Linked DNA regions of Elephas maximus indicus. The main gene of each other region encodes a partner of the protein of the gene in region 2 in a complex. Links are inferred from orthologs where the notes say so. Each region holds a gene or a part of one and is shown on either strand. Other genes may lie near its edges.

Region 1 (6,918 bases), on a different chromosome or scaffold from region 2:
TGAAAAAGCATGCTGGGAGACTGCCACCACTGGAGGTGGCGGAGAGAAGTCTGTTTCTTCAGTCATAGAGGAACTGCTACAATGGCAGGCCACTGCGGGGAGGGATGGCCCAAATCACCTTGGGCTGGAGCAGAAAGAAAGACCATATTTTCTGTGTGCTCTCAGATCCCTTCTACAAAAACAGAGAAAACATAGTCCTTGTACACTTCCTCCAGGGAAAATAAGGAACTGCCTCCTTCTCTTGCTTCCTTCCCTTCCAAGTGGCCAATTCGTCTGGAAGCTTCACTGCTTCCTGCACTGCTTCCCGCACTGGTCCCACCACTAAAAGACTCAACAGTGAGTGTGCTTGTTTATGCTGGGGGTGGGGCTGGGCTGGAGACTGCTAATACTCATCCAGAGACCAAAGAGGTCCTCAGACTCCAAGGAGAACCCCACATGCCCTGGAGAGGGGGGATCTGACAGCCCCTCAGACAGAAGGATGGGATGCCAGACCAGGACTTTGGTCATTAGCAGTGGGGAACCTCTGGCCTTGGAGAGTATTTAACTGCAGCATCTCTAATGGGAGACTGGAGGGTGAGATGCCACCTCATGCCAACTCACAAGAATAACTGACCATTAGAACAAGCTAGTTTCTCCATTCTCAGGAGAAATAACTGTATTTATAGCCTGAAAGTATGTTCCTTTTAAACATGGATGGGGCAGGACCTTGAATACCTCCTTTGACCTTCTCAGGTCAAAGGAAATAGGGCTAATTTTGGCAATCTCCCCTCCACACTTGAGTGTTAAGTTCCTCCATCACCCTTACCTTTCAAATAGCCAGCGCTCTTAATAGCTATCCCTCTGCTTTCACTGACAGTCCCACTTTCAGTGGTTTATTTCTACTCTTTTTCAGGTATACTTTCAATCTATTTCTTACCTTCACAGTGAAATGTTTCCCAGTTTAGTTAACGCTCTTTGGATTATAAGTAATAGAACTAACCTGGGGGAGAAAAGCTTTTAGTGTAAGGATACTGTTTATCTCCCAGAATCTGGAGTTGTTTGATACTTGAAAAGGGCAGAACGAGGGTCCCTTGGCAGCAGACTTTTTGAGACTTTCTCTTTGGGTCATAGCCACTAACATGGTTCCCAGCAATTCTGTCTTGGGGCCAAATTTCTAGGCATTTGCATCCTATTGGTCCACCCTGAACCATCTCCTATGGCCAGGGAACAAAAACAAGGCTGTAGAAAATACACCCCATGGGCAGGCCAGGTAGTGCTCAGAGAAAAAAAGGACAGACAACTAGCCCAGTAGGTACAGGCAGCATTATTTCAGGGGTATCTTTTTGTACCTTGGAAAGCAATCGCACTGGGTCCACTTGCAGAGCTGGCCTGATGCAGGTTTGGGAGGGGATCTGTGGGAGAAGGTTCCATTGTCGGTTTCAGAGGTAGCAGTCCATGCCTCATCCCTTACTAATGGAGATAAGAAAGGTGGCCAGAAGGGTCCTTTTCTTAGGAAAAGTTTCCAGACTGACACTGATGCAGAAGAACTATAAAAATGAAAAGTAAACAGGGCTGCCTGCACAAAAACAATACTAATATAAAACATGGCTAGGACATGAACCAGAGACCTACATCATCCTGAGACCAGAAGAACTAGTTGGTGCCCGGCCACAATCGATGACTGCCCTGACAGGGAGCACAGCAGAGGACCCCTGAGGGAGCAGGAGATCAGTGGGATGCAGACCCCAAATCCTCATAAAAAGACCATACTTAATGGTCTGACTGAGACTAGAGGAATCCCGGCGGTCATGGTCCCCAAACCTTCTGTTGGCCCAGGACAGGAACCATTCCCGAAAACAACTCATCAGACATGGAAGGGTCTGGACAGTGGGTAGGAGAGAGATGCTGATGAAGAGTGAGCTATTTGTATCAGGTGGACACTTGAGACTGTGTTGGCATCTCCTGTCTGGAGGGAGAATGGGAGGATAGAGAGAGTTGGAAGCTGGCAAAATTGTCATGAGAAACTGGAAGGGCTGACTCAGTAGGGGGAGAGCAAGTGGGAGTACAGAGTAAGGTGTATATAAACTTATATGTGACAGTTTGACCTGATTTGTAAACGTTCACCTGAAGCTCAATAAAAGTTAAAAAAAAAAAAAACATGGCTAGGAAGCCTTTATGCCCCCATACTGTGTAACACCGTTTTTCAAAGAAGAACAGGGCCAGAGCTGAGGTAGGAAAATGGTAGCCCATAGCCATTTTGTTAGGCCTGAAGTAATAAAGGAGCCAGATTTCTCCTAGGAAACAAATAGGAGGTCCAGCACCACCAGGCCACAGTCCCACAGCGCAAAACTAGCTGACAGAGTAGCTGCTACCCCTCCAGATGGGTCAGGGGCTTTCCAGCTTCTCAGAGTCCCCTAAACATTCATTGCTTCACCCCTGCAAGCATGAGTTTGAACCCCCCAGGGTAGGTGTCTAGGACCTTTGCAGCTCACTCTCCCTGCCCGTCAGAAAAGCCAGGGTATAAATTGTCTGTCACCAGCTTAAAAGCCTTTCCTGTGGCTTCAAGCTTTCTAGATTGCATGATTAACTGTGTAGGCTCATTACAATCAAAATCAACCAGGTACCTCAGATGACAGGGCATTTCTGTACAGAACAGATTTCCTAATCACGGGTTCATTAGCTGGACCATAATCTTTCTTAGTCTGTATCCCAGATACTCTAAAATGGGAACTAGGAACACAGGTAGTTTGTTCCCCGGTGGGCCATTATCCCAATGTCTGGTAGTGGTGGGTGGGTGGGAACATACGAGGTCAGGGTAAATGCTGCGTACGTGGTAATTAAGGACAGAGGCCCTGGGGTCAATTGCCAGTGTTTACGTCCCCCCTCTGTAAGGCCTTGGGCAACTTAAGTAATCACTTCCTTTTAAGAAAGTGATCGTAGGTAGTAAAGGAGGTATCTCACCCAGTGTGCAATTAGCAAGTGCCAAAACAGAGAAAGCACTCGGTATGTTAGCTATTATTACTATGAGCCTATACCCCCAGGATTCCTAATCCATCTTACCTGAGAAGCACCACACTCAGACTCATTAATCAGCTCACACATTTAATCAGAGAATTTGGCACCTGCAGGGCTGTCTTTTCATCGATGATCTTCCCCGCAAGTAGTGTTCTATCAGGGCAGAGACAACAGCATCCATCAAGAGTTCTGGTCCCGATTGCAGAGGACAAGCTCCCTTTCCGGCTGTGGTTCTGTCCACGGGTCTTTATCTCTGTCGGGCTCCAGAGTCTTTCTCCAGACTGTGCCTGAACGATCACTCGATTGCATAGCTTCAGAGAGATTGTCGGTTTGGTCTGGGTTCTCTAATGCGTATGACCTCTGTAGGCCGAGAATCGGAGTCAGGACTCGGAGCCGCGCTCAGTGCCCGCAATGACCCCGCAGCGCCGAGACCGATGTACAGCCCAGACCGAGGGCGGACGACCTCGGCCCAGCCCAGCCCGGTCTTAAGGGTCTGCGCCCGGGCCCTTCCGGCTACCTGGTGGTGACCCCGGGCGGTCCCGGAGGCCGCGGCGCAGTTCTTGTTTGAAGGCGTCTCTGAAGCGGGCAGCGCGCCGGGCCGCCTCCTTACCGCGCAGCTGGGCCTGCAACAGCGCGAAGGCCGTGAGCTGTGCCGCACGCCGGATGGGCCACGACTCCGAGAGACGCTCCACCAGCTGCGAGCTGTGCAGCAGAGCTGCAAGCAGCCGCCGAAACACCATCCTCTCCGCAGCTCCCCGGAACCCGGGGCACGTGGCTCTAGCCTTCCGGTCGGCGGCGCCCCACATCGGACCGGGTCTGCGCCCGCGCCGTCTGATGACGACACTGCCGCGCTCGGATTGGGCCCAAGCATTCCCGCTCTCTCTGCTTCCGGCGGCCGCCTCCGCGCGTTTCCGGTTCCGCCGCCGGTGTCGCCGCCGCCGTTTCATTGTTCTCGGAGTTGCGGCGTCGCCGTCCACCTCTTTGCGCTATGTCCGGTGGCCTCCTGAAGGCGCTGCGCAGTGACTCCTACGTAGAGCTGAGCCAGTACCGGGATCAGCACTTCCGGGTGAGGGAGACCGGGCCGCCCAAGGGCCGAACGCTGAGAAACGGTTTGCTCTAATCTCATTGTGTCGTCTCTCATCCTGCTCGTGTCGCGAGAAGCGAAGTGAGGCCGCAGTGCTGCCCGGGGAAGCAGGGAATGGGTACTGGGCGGGTGTTTGTATTTCACTGAAGCCAGTTCCTGTCTAAAAAGGGAGTTTGGGGCTCGCTTTCTCATTCCCTTGCAGCCCTCCGTGTACCCGGGCCAGTGCAGGAGTGTTCAGGCAGTAGTAGTGGTGACGGCGGCAGTAGTAGTAGTAGTAGTGGTAGTAGCAGCAGCCGGCAGGGGTGGTTCTCATTTTCAGGGCCTGTGCCTCGGGGAGGTGGTTTTGAGATGAGGGGCAGGGCTGTCCGTTTGCCTCCGGAGTATGTGGAGGCGCGCCTTCCTTACCCGGCTACCAGGGCTTGCTTTTCAAAATGCGATGAGAGAAACAATAGCCTTTGGCGCTTTGACCCCTTTTCTTTGCCTGTAGGAAGGTTCTACCATGTTCTGCGCTTTGGATGGGAGTTGAGCCCTGCCCGAACCCTAGGGATGGGGAGGTGGACCAGCCAAGCTGGGCACTTAGAGGATGTCTGGGTGTCAAGATCAGAGAACTGCTGAATTTTAAAAGAGGAAATTTTTAGTTTAGGCTATGTCAGGAGATTTGTGAAAGAGAAGAAGGCTGCAGAATTTAGCTGCATTCTCATTGTGGGCTTTTCGGTATTAGGAATGGCAGGTATGGGGTGCCGGGAATAATTAGGAGACGGTTTCATTAATCCAGTTATTTAGGTTTTCATTGGGTTTATTGGGTGCTGTTAGGAAACCTGCTAAGCCATAGAGAGAGAGGGGAAGTCAGTTTCTGCACTCTAAACTTTAATGAGCCTCTAGTAGGGATTGTAAATGGAAGCAAGTCATCGTAATTCAGAGCAGAAATGGTGAGCACAAACGCAGGGGTTGTGAGGATTCAGAAGAGGGATAACAATTTGTGACTGGGAAGAAAGGGGCAGAAAGGGATGAGAGAGCAGCATGGAGAATGTGTACAATGTGTTCGTAGGGCAGGGAAAAGGAACTTTTGTTTGAGGCTAAACCGACGAGGATCTTAAATTCATTCACTCAGCCAACAGTTTTTAAATTCTTACTGTGTGCGAGGGGAAACCCTGGTGGTGTAGTGGTTGAGTGCTACAGCTGCTAACCAAGAGGTTAGCAGCCGTAGTTCAAATCCGCAGTTCAAATCCGCCAGGCACTGCTTGGAAACTCTATGGGGCAGTTCTACTCTGTCCTCTAGGGTCGCTGTGAGTCGGAATCGACTTGACAGCAGTGGGTTTGGTTTTTGGTTTTATGTGCGAGGCATGATTTCACTTCTTCCACTTTTACAGTTCTTGTTACCTTAGAAAGTTCCACATCATAACCATCTTGAATTTAGACCATCCTGCAAGGTGCAGACTGAAAGGATTAGACTTTTGCTATTATTCATCTCTGCAATTTAAAGCTTAAAGTTCAGTACTGTCATGCAGAATTGCTAGTGTTCCCTGAAAGGAATCCACATTCATATCATACCTTAAGCAAGCACTTAGACCACAGTTGTCTTAAGCCACAGGCTGGCTGTTTGGACATCTCTTACGTGTATGAGAAAAGTGAAACTGCCTCCTGACCATAATTTTAACAAATCAGTAACAGCAGTAATAAAAAGTTAATCTACATTCCCTGATGTCTCATTCCAGAGCTTTGAGAACCTATCGTTAACAAAGAACGCCTGTTCCCTTGTGGATTTTCTAAAGCAGTGTGGGATTGAGGACTAGACTAGGCTTGAATTGCAGTTATAACTGCTGAGTAGCTCTGGGACTGGGACAGGTTACTGACTTTTTCCTCACGTGTAAAGTGAGGATAATAAGTTAGGACCTACCTCATACAGTTGTTTTAAGGATTAGGTGAGATGGCATACATTAAGTCTGACTTGCAGTCCCTTGATTCTCCCCACAGGTAGAAACAGTTATCAGTTCATGCTTTTAAAAAATACAATTTGGAGCATACGCTTCACACCGTCCTGCATTCCATCTGGGAGGTGTTCCCTGTCCCTGCATGGAGATGTACAGGTTTATTGGCACAGCATGGTTTTATATCAGTGTGCTGTAATTAATTTAATCAGTTTCCTTTGGATGGTTTCACTGTTTCTCTAATCTGCCACTGCTTGTGATCACACGAGACCTTTTACTTTGCACACTGTGCTGCAAAACACTCAGAGACGAATAATGCAAGGTCGTATTCTCAGAGTGAGGGAAACTGGACCACCATGACACATGCAGGGCTCCTGGGAAAGTGCTGTGGGGCTCAGTATGAGTTTACTCAGCTACCGCTTTCCAAGCTGGAATGCCACTGTTAGGTGTAAGAAGGGTCATCTTAAATCCAAACTCAGTATATGCTTCATGTTAGAGCCTTACCTGGGTCAGGAGGGCCTGAGAGCAGGTCAGCTGGTAGGCCTTCTATTAATCAAGCATCTGTCCTCCCCAGTGTGGAAGCTGGAAGAGAACGCCCACAGACGGCCACACTGGTTTCTGTGAAGTCCTCTAAGTTACCACATCTAGCCCACGATGAGCCATCTTGTTCCCAGGGGTTGTCAGGTGTTTCTGTGGAAACCCAGTTACACTTCTGTCTCTGGCTTTATCCTATCTTCCAAATTAGGAAGTCCATCAAGAATGTGAGATGGCTTTTGTTTTTAGTGATCACTACATGCTCTCCTAACTCAGAGAAAACCATATAAGCATGTAAACCATCTAAGCAATTGTTGTTTTTGAATGGTCTCTATGGGAGCATTTCAAGGAAACCCTAATCTTTGGAAACCCATTTAC
Region 2 (7,185 bases):
AATTTAGTATTTATTCACTTATAGAAGAAGCCCTAGTAGCACAGTGGTTAAGCACACAGCTGCTAACCAAAAGGTCAGTGGTTCAAACCCACCAGCTACTCTGAAGGAGAAAGATGTGGCAGTCTGCATCCATAAAGATTTCGACCTTGTAAACACCATGGGATAGTTCTACTCTGTTCTCTAGCGTTACTACGAGTCAGACTCAACTCGACGGCCATAGGTTTGGGCTTTGTTTGGTTTATTCACTTTTAAATTACATTTAATATAAACTACATGTTTGTGTAAAAATTACTATTATCCAAAACATTTTAGTGAGAAAATGGCATTGTTTCATATTTTACAAATCTCTTTAAGGTCTAGTTTAACAGAAGACAGGATTCTATTATTTGCTTCCACATTCAAATCTATTGTGCCATGTTGTTTTGGTCGATGTATATGCAGAAAATTCAGCCTCACACTGATATGTAATTTGAAAAGGGAGTACTATGGTAGGCTTTTCAGGTAATTACGGATAGCGTTCTTTGATACTTCTTAAAACAAGGGTAGTTTTAAGGTTAGTTGCAATGTGGCCTCTGAAATCTTATCAGTGAACTCGTCGGCTACGTTATACTCTGCTACGTTAAAATCCACTCTTCTACCTTGCTCTTTCAACGACTTTTGACACATTTCATTGAACAATATAAAAATAACAAACATTACCAGCTATCTCAGACACGTATCGAGAGTCTAATAAAATTAATCACTGTGACTGCTTCATCAGGACCAGTCTTCAATGAAACTGGCAGTGAAGAATACAATAATGACTACTGACACAGTTTGGCACCACTGCCTTAATTTGTGCTAAGGTGCCAGGAGTTTTATCCACCATTGCTATAGCACCATCAGTGCAAATGTCACTATAGTTAAAGTTTCAGTAATACCTTAGTATTTCTATAGTTTTAACCTCACAGACATCTGAAAGGGTCTCGGGGACCAAGGGCCTGTGGACCGCCATTTTGAGAATCACTACTTAAACCAAGCCAGAATTTGTACTGTTTTCTGCACACAATGTACATCCACAACTCCAACATACTCCCTCCATCTGTGTTTGGGGAATTCCCCCATATTCTTCCATGTCTGGCTAAGTGCCACCTCTCCCGTAACCAGGACAGACCACCCTGATACCCTCCTTTAGAAGGATTTTCCCTCAGTGCTTTTTATGATCTTCTTTTATATATGCTCATTTGCAGTATAGCCCCAAGGCCACTCCAAACACTCCTTAAAGGCAATGACTACATCTTATCCATCTTCAGAACTCCTTTCTCTTCCAACATTCTTAGAAAATACCCAGGAAAACAGGGTGGCCAGGTAGGATCTCCACAGCTAAGAGATACGGTGGGTGGCGAGTTGAATGATTAACTGAACTCTTTTTCCCAAATGATACTGATGAATAAAAGTTATCACAATAAGTCACCGCGAACTCTTTGTAACAGTCTGTTTCCAAATGGGGCCTGCCATCAGCTCACTGATGTCAGCCGCTTAGATTAAAAAAAAAAAAAAAACCACCTGTATTTCCAAAAAACAATAAACCTTGATTATTTAAAACCCTATCAGAAGTTTAAGGTAAATACCCTAACTATAATTAACTCAAAAACATCCCAGCAACCTAATCACTAGCATATTCAAACCTAACCAATTAACTCAATTAGCACTGTCCAAAGAACTCTTTTTGAAATTTTAGGCAAAACAATTACAAGAAATTTTATCATATCCTGCCAGGGAACTAAGCGGTCTTACAATCTCCGCAGTGAAATCAATCCTATAATAACATTGCTTCTGCATTAACGTTTTGGAGGTATAATTTACAAACGATAAAATACACAGATTTTAAGTGCACATATAAATATTACTTCTTTATACTTAAACTCAGATTTTCAGGATAGTTCAAAAATCAAGCATATAAAAAATCAATTCAAACAGTATAAAGTGTTTACGGAAGAGAAGGTACTCTTGGGAGCAATTCAGAATGACACTGACAAGGATGCTGATAGAAAAGCTAATTTCTTTTCATTTACAAAATGCTTCCAAAGTTTAAAAAAAGACACATGCTTTTCTGGCTAACAACAAACACGATGAACCGTATGAAATTGCCGTTTCTGTACACCAAGACCGTCAAGTATCATAAGTTTAATTAAGGTTCAGCCTAATAAAGTCATAGGAGAAAAGTTAATAACAGGGGATTGTAAACAGAATGAGACTGGAAAACAAAACAGAGAAAAAGCTTAAATGTCTCACCGGTCATTCCAGTCGTCCCCTCGACGTCTTTCATCTCTTTCCCGAGAACGGTCATAGTCGCTGCGCTCTCTTCTAAACTTGTCCCTGCGCCTTCGATCATACTCGTCATCACTGTCACCCATAGCACGGTCTGAGGGGGCCTGAGGCCCAGGGAGGAGTAGTCAAGATGTTGATGAACAATGACGAGAAGAGGAAAGGCTCGCCTCCCTCCCGCAAGGGCCTGCCTTCCGCTGCTCCCGCCATCCTAATCTCTTTTTCCCTGGCAAGTGGATGAAATGAAAGGCTCCGATACTTCCGCTCGCCCCACGGGTCTCCCCGCCCCACCCATGGCGGCCCAGGCCCGACAGCCGCCTCCAACGGCTCCCCGCCGGCCCTTGGGCCCGGGTCCCTGAGTCTCGCAGCAGCGCGGGCCGCAGGCCCTGGCATCCGCCCCTCCCCCCACCTGGGATCGGTCGCGGCCGTTGGCCTAGCGCTCCGGCGGGCTTCTTCTCCGGGCGGCCCGGGCCCGCGTCTTCGCTTCTGGCACGCGACGAGAACAACGCGCGCGGTGAGACCGAGACGCGAGGATCTCAGCGGAAGGAGTCGGAGAGACTAGAAGAAAGCAGGGCGGCAGAAGATGGGCAGTCGGCGCGCGCCGTTCACACCGCGCTTGCGCCACTTGCCGAACGGCGCTAACTACTCCTTTCGCGCCGAACTGGAACTACAGCGGACGATCAGGGCTAAGGCGGGGAGAACAGAAGGATGATGGGAGGAGGCGGGGCCAGGAGGTCTCGCGTGTCTTCCTGCACGAGAACTGCCAGAGCGAGAAAAACTACGGGAGTCGGGCAGAGCCAAGCTTAGCCGCCGTGGTAGCGCCTTTTGGGCGTGAGAGAGTGTTCTCTCACGTGTGTCCGGGGTCTAAGACAGTTCGCATCCAGCCGTTGCCCTCCGACCTGATCTTTTTATTTGGGGTTCCTTCTGACCTCATCGAGAGTGGCTTCGCCCTTTGGGCAGGGCAAGGGCATGGGCTTGGGGAGTGTTGGCCTTAGGGGAAGAGAGCAACCATTTTAAAGTCTCTCCTCCCACCATTTCGTGCTCCCACACAGACCGTACGTGCTACCTGCAAAACCCATTGTTCCTGCACTTCGACAAAAGTGCCCACTTTTAAACAAAATTGGCAGATCTGAGCGTTATCTCAAACCAATAGTTTCATGATCATGGTTGTGTAGAGGCCTGACCAATAGGCAGCATCTTGCCTGCCCCCAGATTAAATGCACCACCACCCAAAATGGATAACTCCAAGTCCTTTTTCAATTATTTGAGTATTAAGGCTTAATAGGGAACATTGCTTCTCTAGAGCATACTGCAGCCTTGCTCCCAGCACTGAGAGGAGGAGTATCTTTACACTAAAAAGAACAGTAGAATTGCAAAAAAACTGGACCGGGACTAAGATCAGGTTCGAATTTTGGTTTTGCCATTTGGGAAGCATGCCATCTGGGAACCTCACTTCTCAGCTCTAGAATTCTCACAAAGAAACAACAAATCAGGATTGTATCTGAGGCTGCTATGAGAATCAGATGAAAAAAATAAACTTGAAAGTGTTTTGTAAACTCTTGCAGAATTATTATTTCATAATTAGAGGAAGAAGAGACAGCATTTGGTGACAATTGTAAAGGTAAACATCAGGGAGGGTGGTCGACAGGAGCAGAGAATGCAGCAGATGCTTCTGGGAAGACTCAGCAGTCAGTGGTGACAGTCGCTGAGAGCTCCTGGATGCGCCAGGCGCTGCAGGACTTGCACAAGATGTGTCCGTCCAGTGGGTAGCAGCCTTGACACTCACCCTCAGAGGAGAGCAGCAACCCACACTCCTGTTGGGAAAGAAGCAAGAGCTTTCCATCAGCTTTTAACCCCTGGGTTCTTTCTCCCTCAGGCTTAACCATACCCAGCACCCCAGACCTGTTCCTCTTGCCCAGGCCCCCTGACCTCACACTTGTAACAGCCAATATGAAAACTTCGATCCAGAGCAACAATTCGCACAGTCTCCTCCTGCCCTGGCTCAGGCATGATGGCCCCGCCACATACTGAGCATCGTGGAGCAAACTTCCTAGGGTGAAAGGGAACTAATGAGGCTATCAAGACCGGAGTTGAGGGGACTAATGATGGAGCCCCAAGAAGGTGGGATGCCGGAGGAAACAGGAGAGACCAGAGGTATGGTCTTGGATACTGGGGAAGAGAGGTATACCAAAGAGAAGGAGGCAGGTCCAGGGTTGGAAACAGGAGTAATCGATACTGGGGCATGAAACAGAGGTGAGGGAGATGGAAAGGGTTATCATGCTGACCTGTGGAAGTCCTCAATGCAGTGGATCTGGCTGGTGGCATCCACCGTGAAGGGGATGCCATCGAGGCCACGGTGACACACCACACAGGTGAAACAGCCAGGGTGGTAGGCCTTCCCCATAGCCCGAAGGATCCGGTCCAGGATGGGCTGGGAGCACATGGAGCACTTCTCCAGGGTGGCCTGTTGGGAAGGGGAGCAGGAAGGTCAGGGGACCCCATGGTAGCCCTTCAGGCATCCTGCCAGCCTACCCATCTATTTACCTAGCCTCCTGCATGTGATTCAGTGAAAGGTGGACCTGAGAGGATGAGTTCAAGTCCCAGCACTACAACTTACTGGACAAGTCATTTAACCCCTCTAAGCTACAGTCTCCAGTAAAAATGTCATCAACGATAATACCTGCCTCACAGGGCTAATGTGGGGATTTAATTTATTCCCTTAACTCTAAAATGCTTCACACTTGTAAGGAACCATTGTCTTCCCCCTCCAACAGGTTCTAGTTCTCCAACTTTGAGTCCTTTTCCTTTTTGGGGCTGGCCATCTGGCTCCCACCTATCTCCAGCTGCTGACTCCAGCCACCCAGCCCGAACCACTTACCACATAGCAGCTCTCACAGTACGCCCTCCTCTCCACAGCATAGAAATGCTGGCCCTGAAGCTGGGCCCGGCACGTAGAACAGACAAAGCAGCCAACATGGAAGACTCGGTCAAGGGCGACCACTCCGGCCCCATCCCCCACCACATCTTCTCCGCAACCCCCACACCGGCCTAGGGATAGTGGGGAAAAGGTCAATCTACACAGACCCAGAAGCCAGACCCCCACATCCTCTGCCTCTCCAGTATCACCTCCCCATGCTCCCACACTGCAGAGGCAGCTCACCAAAGTACTCCCCGCTGGGTGGGTGATTCATGTCATGCACCAGCTTCTTGGTCAGCCTCTCAAGCTCCTCCTCTGGAGGCTGGCTCAGGGGGACCTGGGAGGTGGGAATCAGGGGTTTGGTCTTACCTCTGGACTTCTGGCACTATAAAAATCCCTGTGTGTGACATGACATGCGATTCAACCCAGAAAGCCCATTTGAGAGCAGCTCAGCCCAGGACCCAGGGGAGAGCCTCGAGGAGACACCAGTGCTCTACCCCCTCTCTGGCCTCCCCCACACCCTTTGGGAATCCAGAGCTCTGACATCCCCGACCTGTGACTCTGCTCTAAAACCAGGACATTAAACACCATCCTCACCCCACCCACTCAATATCCAGTTGTCTATAAAATCCCAGTGCCGTGGACCTACCTGGGACCCGTACCTGCCTCCTCTTCCTCCTCCTGCAGGGCCAGGGACCCTGGCAGCCTCCTCTTTACCCCCTGGCCCTGGCTCCCGGTGGCTCCTATAGCCAGCCCCCCAGACTTCACCTCGGCTGGGAAGAGGAAAGTGGGGCCCCAGGAGGGGCCTAGAAGCCTGAGAGGCCCCCCGCCTGGGTGGGCCACAGCCTCTCACTGGTTGTGCCACCTTCACCTGCACAGGGAAGGCAGGGCCAGCAGGGGTGCTGGCAGTAGCATAGGAGGCCGGAGTGGGACCTCCATAGGGGGATGCTGGGAGCTGCAGGGATGGAACACCCCCTCCGTTCGGCTTCAGGGAGCCCGTGCGGTAGGCAGGGGGCTGAAGGGGCTCATAAGCCTGGGGAGAAAGAGACCACAAAGAGTAAGGAAGGCCCATTCCAGGTCACACATCTGTGGAAACCCCACGTGTGGCCCCAAGATGGGCAACTTTTGAGGAGACACTGCCCTCAGGTGGCTGACTACCTAGTAAGCTCTCTGGCCCAGGCTTCTTCATGCTGGGCGTACATCTCTCACACAGGAGTAGGACGGAGGTGGGTGGAATTCAGACTGAGAATCAATCCAGGGAAGGGAGCAGGCTGGAGGTGTGGGAAGCAGGGGACAGTAAGCAGGGTTAGGGAAGGGGAGGAGTCACCTGTCGGTCTGGTCGCCTTGGCACGTGACCACGACCCCCATCCAGCTCAGCCAGCATGCTGGTCAGCGAATCTATCTCAGCATCCAGACTTCCTGGGCCCAAGCTCCCTCTATCTAGGGGGAGCCCCTGGAGATGGAGCAAAAGCAGGGAGATGCAAATCACAACGTCTCCTCTGCCTCCCCGGGTCCCATTCACACTCGACTCATGCCCCCCACTTCCAGTATTCACCTGCGGGCGCTGGGGTGCTCCATGGGACCCCCCCCAGGCTGGCCCCCGATCCTCTGGTCCCCCTCCGGCCTGGTAACACTGCTCAGATGGGAGGGGGCAAAAATTGACTCTGGGGTGGGGCTGGAGTGCTGGGTTGAGGGGAAGAGAGACCAAAGGTAGGGATGGAGAAGACGAGGGGCGCCAAGAGGGCCCCGCCTTTCCCTCCTCCTCCACCTGGGGTCTGAGAATGGGGGCAGGCAGGACCTCCCAGCCCGCTTGGGGGAGGGGGCAAGAGTGGAGGGAAGAGGCGAGCGCTGGGCAACCGGCGGCCCCTACGGCCGCACCGCACCGGGGCTGCCTTACCTGCTCCGTGGGCCACCGGTGGCCCTGGGGGCCCTCGAGGGAACACTCTCCCCTGAGGAGCTCT

The links. The genes of interacting proteins can lie anywhere in the genome.
Region 1: the proteins of SRRT (region 2) and NCBP2 are in contact, whole or in part, in a cryo-EM structure (PDB 8PMP), measured with the Homo sapiens proteins. The link is inferred for Elephas maximus indicus from reciprocal best matches to the Homo sapiens genes SRRT and NCBP2. Residues at the interface, in NP_056992.4 of Homo sapiens: Asp857, Arg859, Ala860, Ile861, Val862, Glu863, Tyr864, Arg865, Ala869, Asp874; in NP_031388.2 of Homo sapiens: Ser48, Phe49, Tyr50, Thr51, Thr52, Glu53, Gln55, Lys67, Met71, Leu73, Met76, Lys77, Lys78, Thr79, Ala80, Tyr89, Asp107, Glu121.

Annotation. Positions count from the first base shown.
Region 1 is NC_064819.1:18,463,228-18,470,145, reverse strand, and holds the start of NCBP2 (nuclear cap-binding protein subunit 2), read left to right. Parts: upstream 1-3,898; 5' UTR 3,899-3,982; coding exon 3,983-4,060; intron 4,061-6,918. Other genes in the region: protein NCBP2AS2, read right to left, coding at 3,308-3,354, 3,512-3,800. UniProt on the Homo sapiens protein: Component of the cap-binding complex (CBC), which binds co-transcriptionally to the 5' cap of pre-mRNAs and is involved in various processes such as pre-mRNA splicing, translation regulation, nonsense-mediated mRNA decay, RNA-mediated gene silencing (RNAi) by microRNAs (miRNAs) and mRNA export.
Region 2 is NC_064830.1:92,231,854-92,239,038, reverse strand, and holds the start of SRRT (serrate RNA effector molecule homolog), read right to left. Parts: upstream 3,012-7,185; 5' UTR 2,717-3,011; intron 2,534-2,716; 5' UTR 2,397-2,533; coding exon 2,275-2,396; intron 1-2,274. Other genes in the region: TRIP6 (thyroid receptor-interacting protein 6), read right to left, coding at 3,990-4,121, 4,237-4,357, 4,593-4,771, 5,186-5,355, 5,468-5,561, 5,874-6,257, 6,552-6,677, 6,780-6,907 and 1 more. UniProt on the Homo sapiens protein: Acts as a mediator between the cap-binding complex (CBC) and the primary microRNAs (miRNAs) processing machinery during cell proliferation.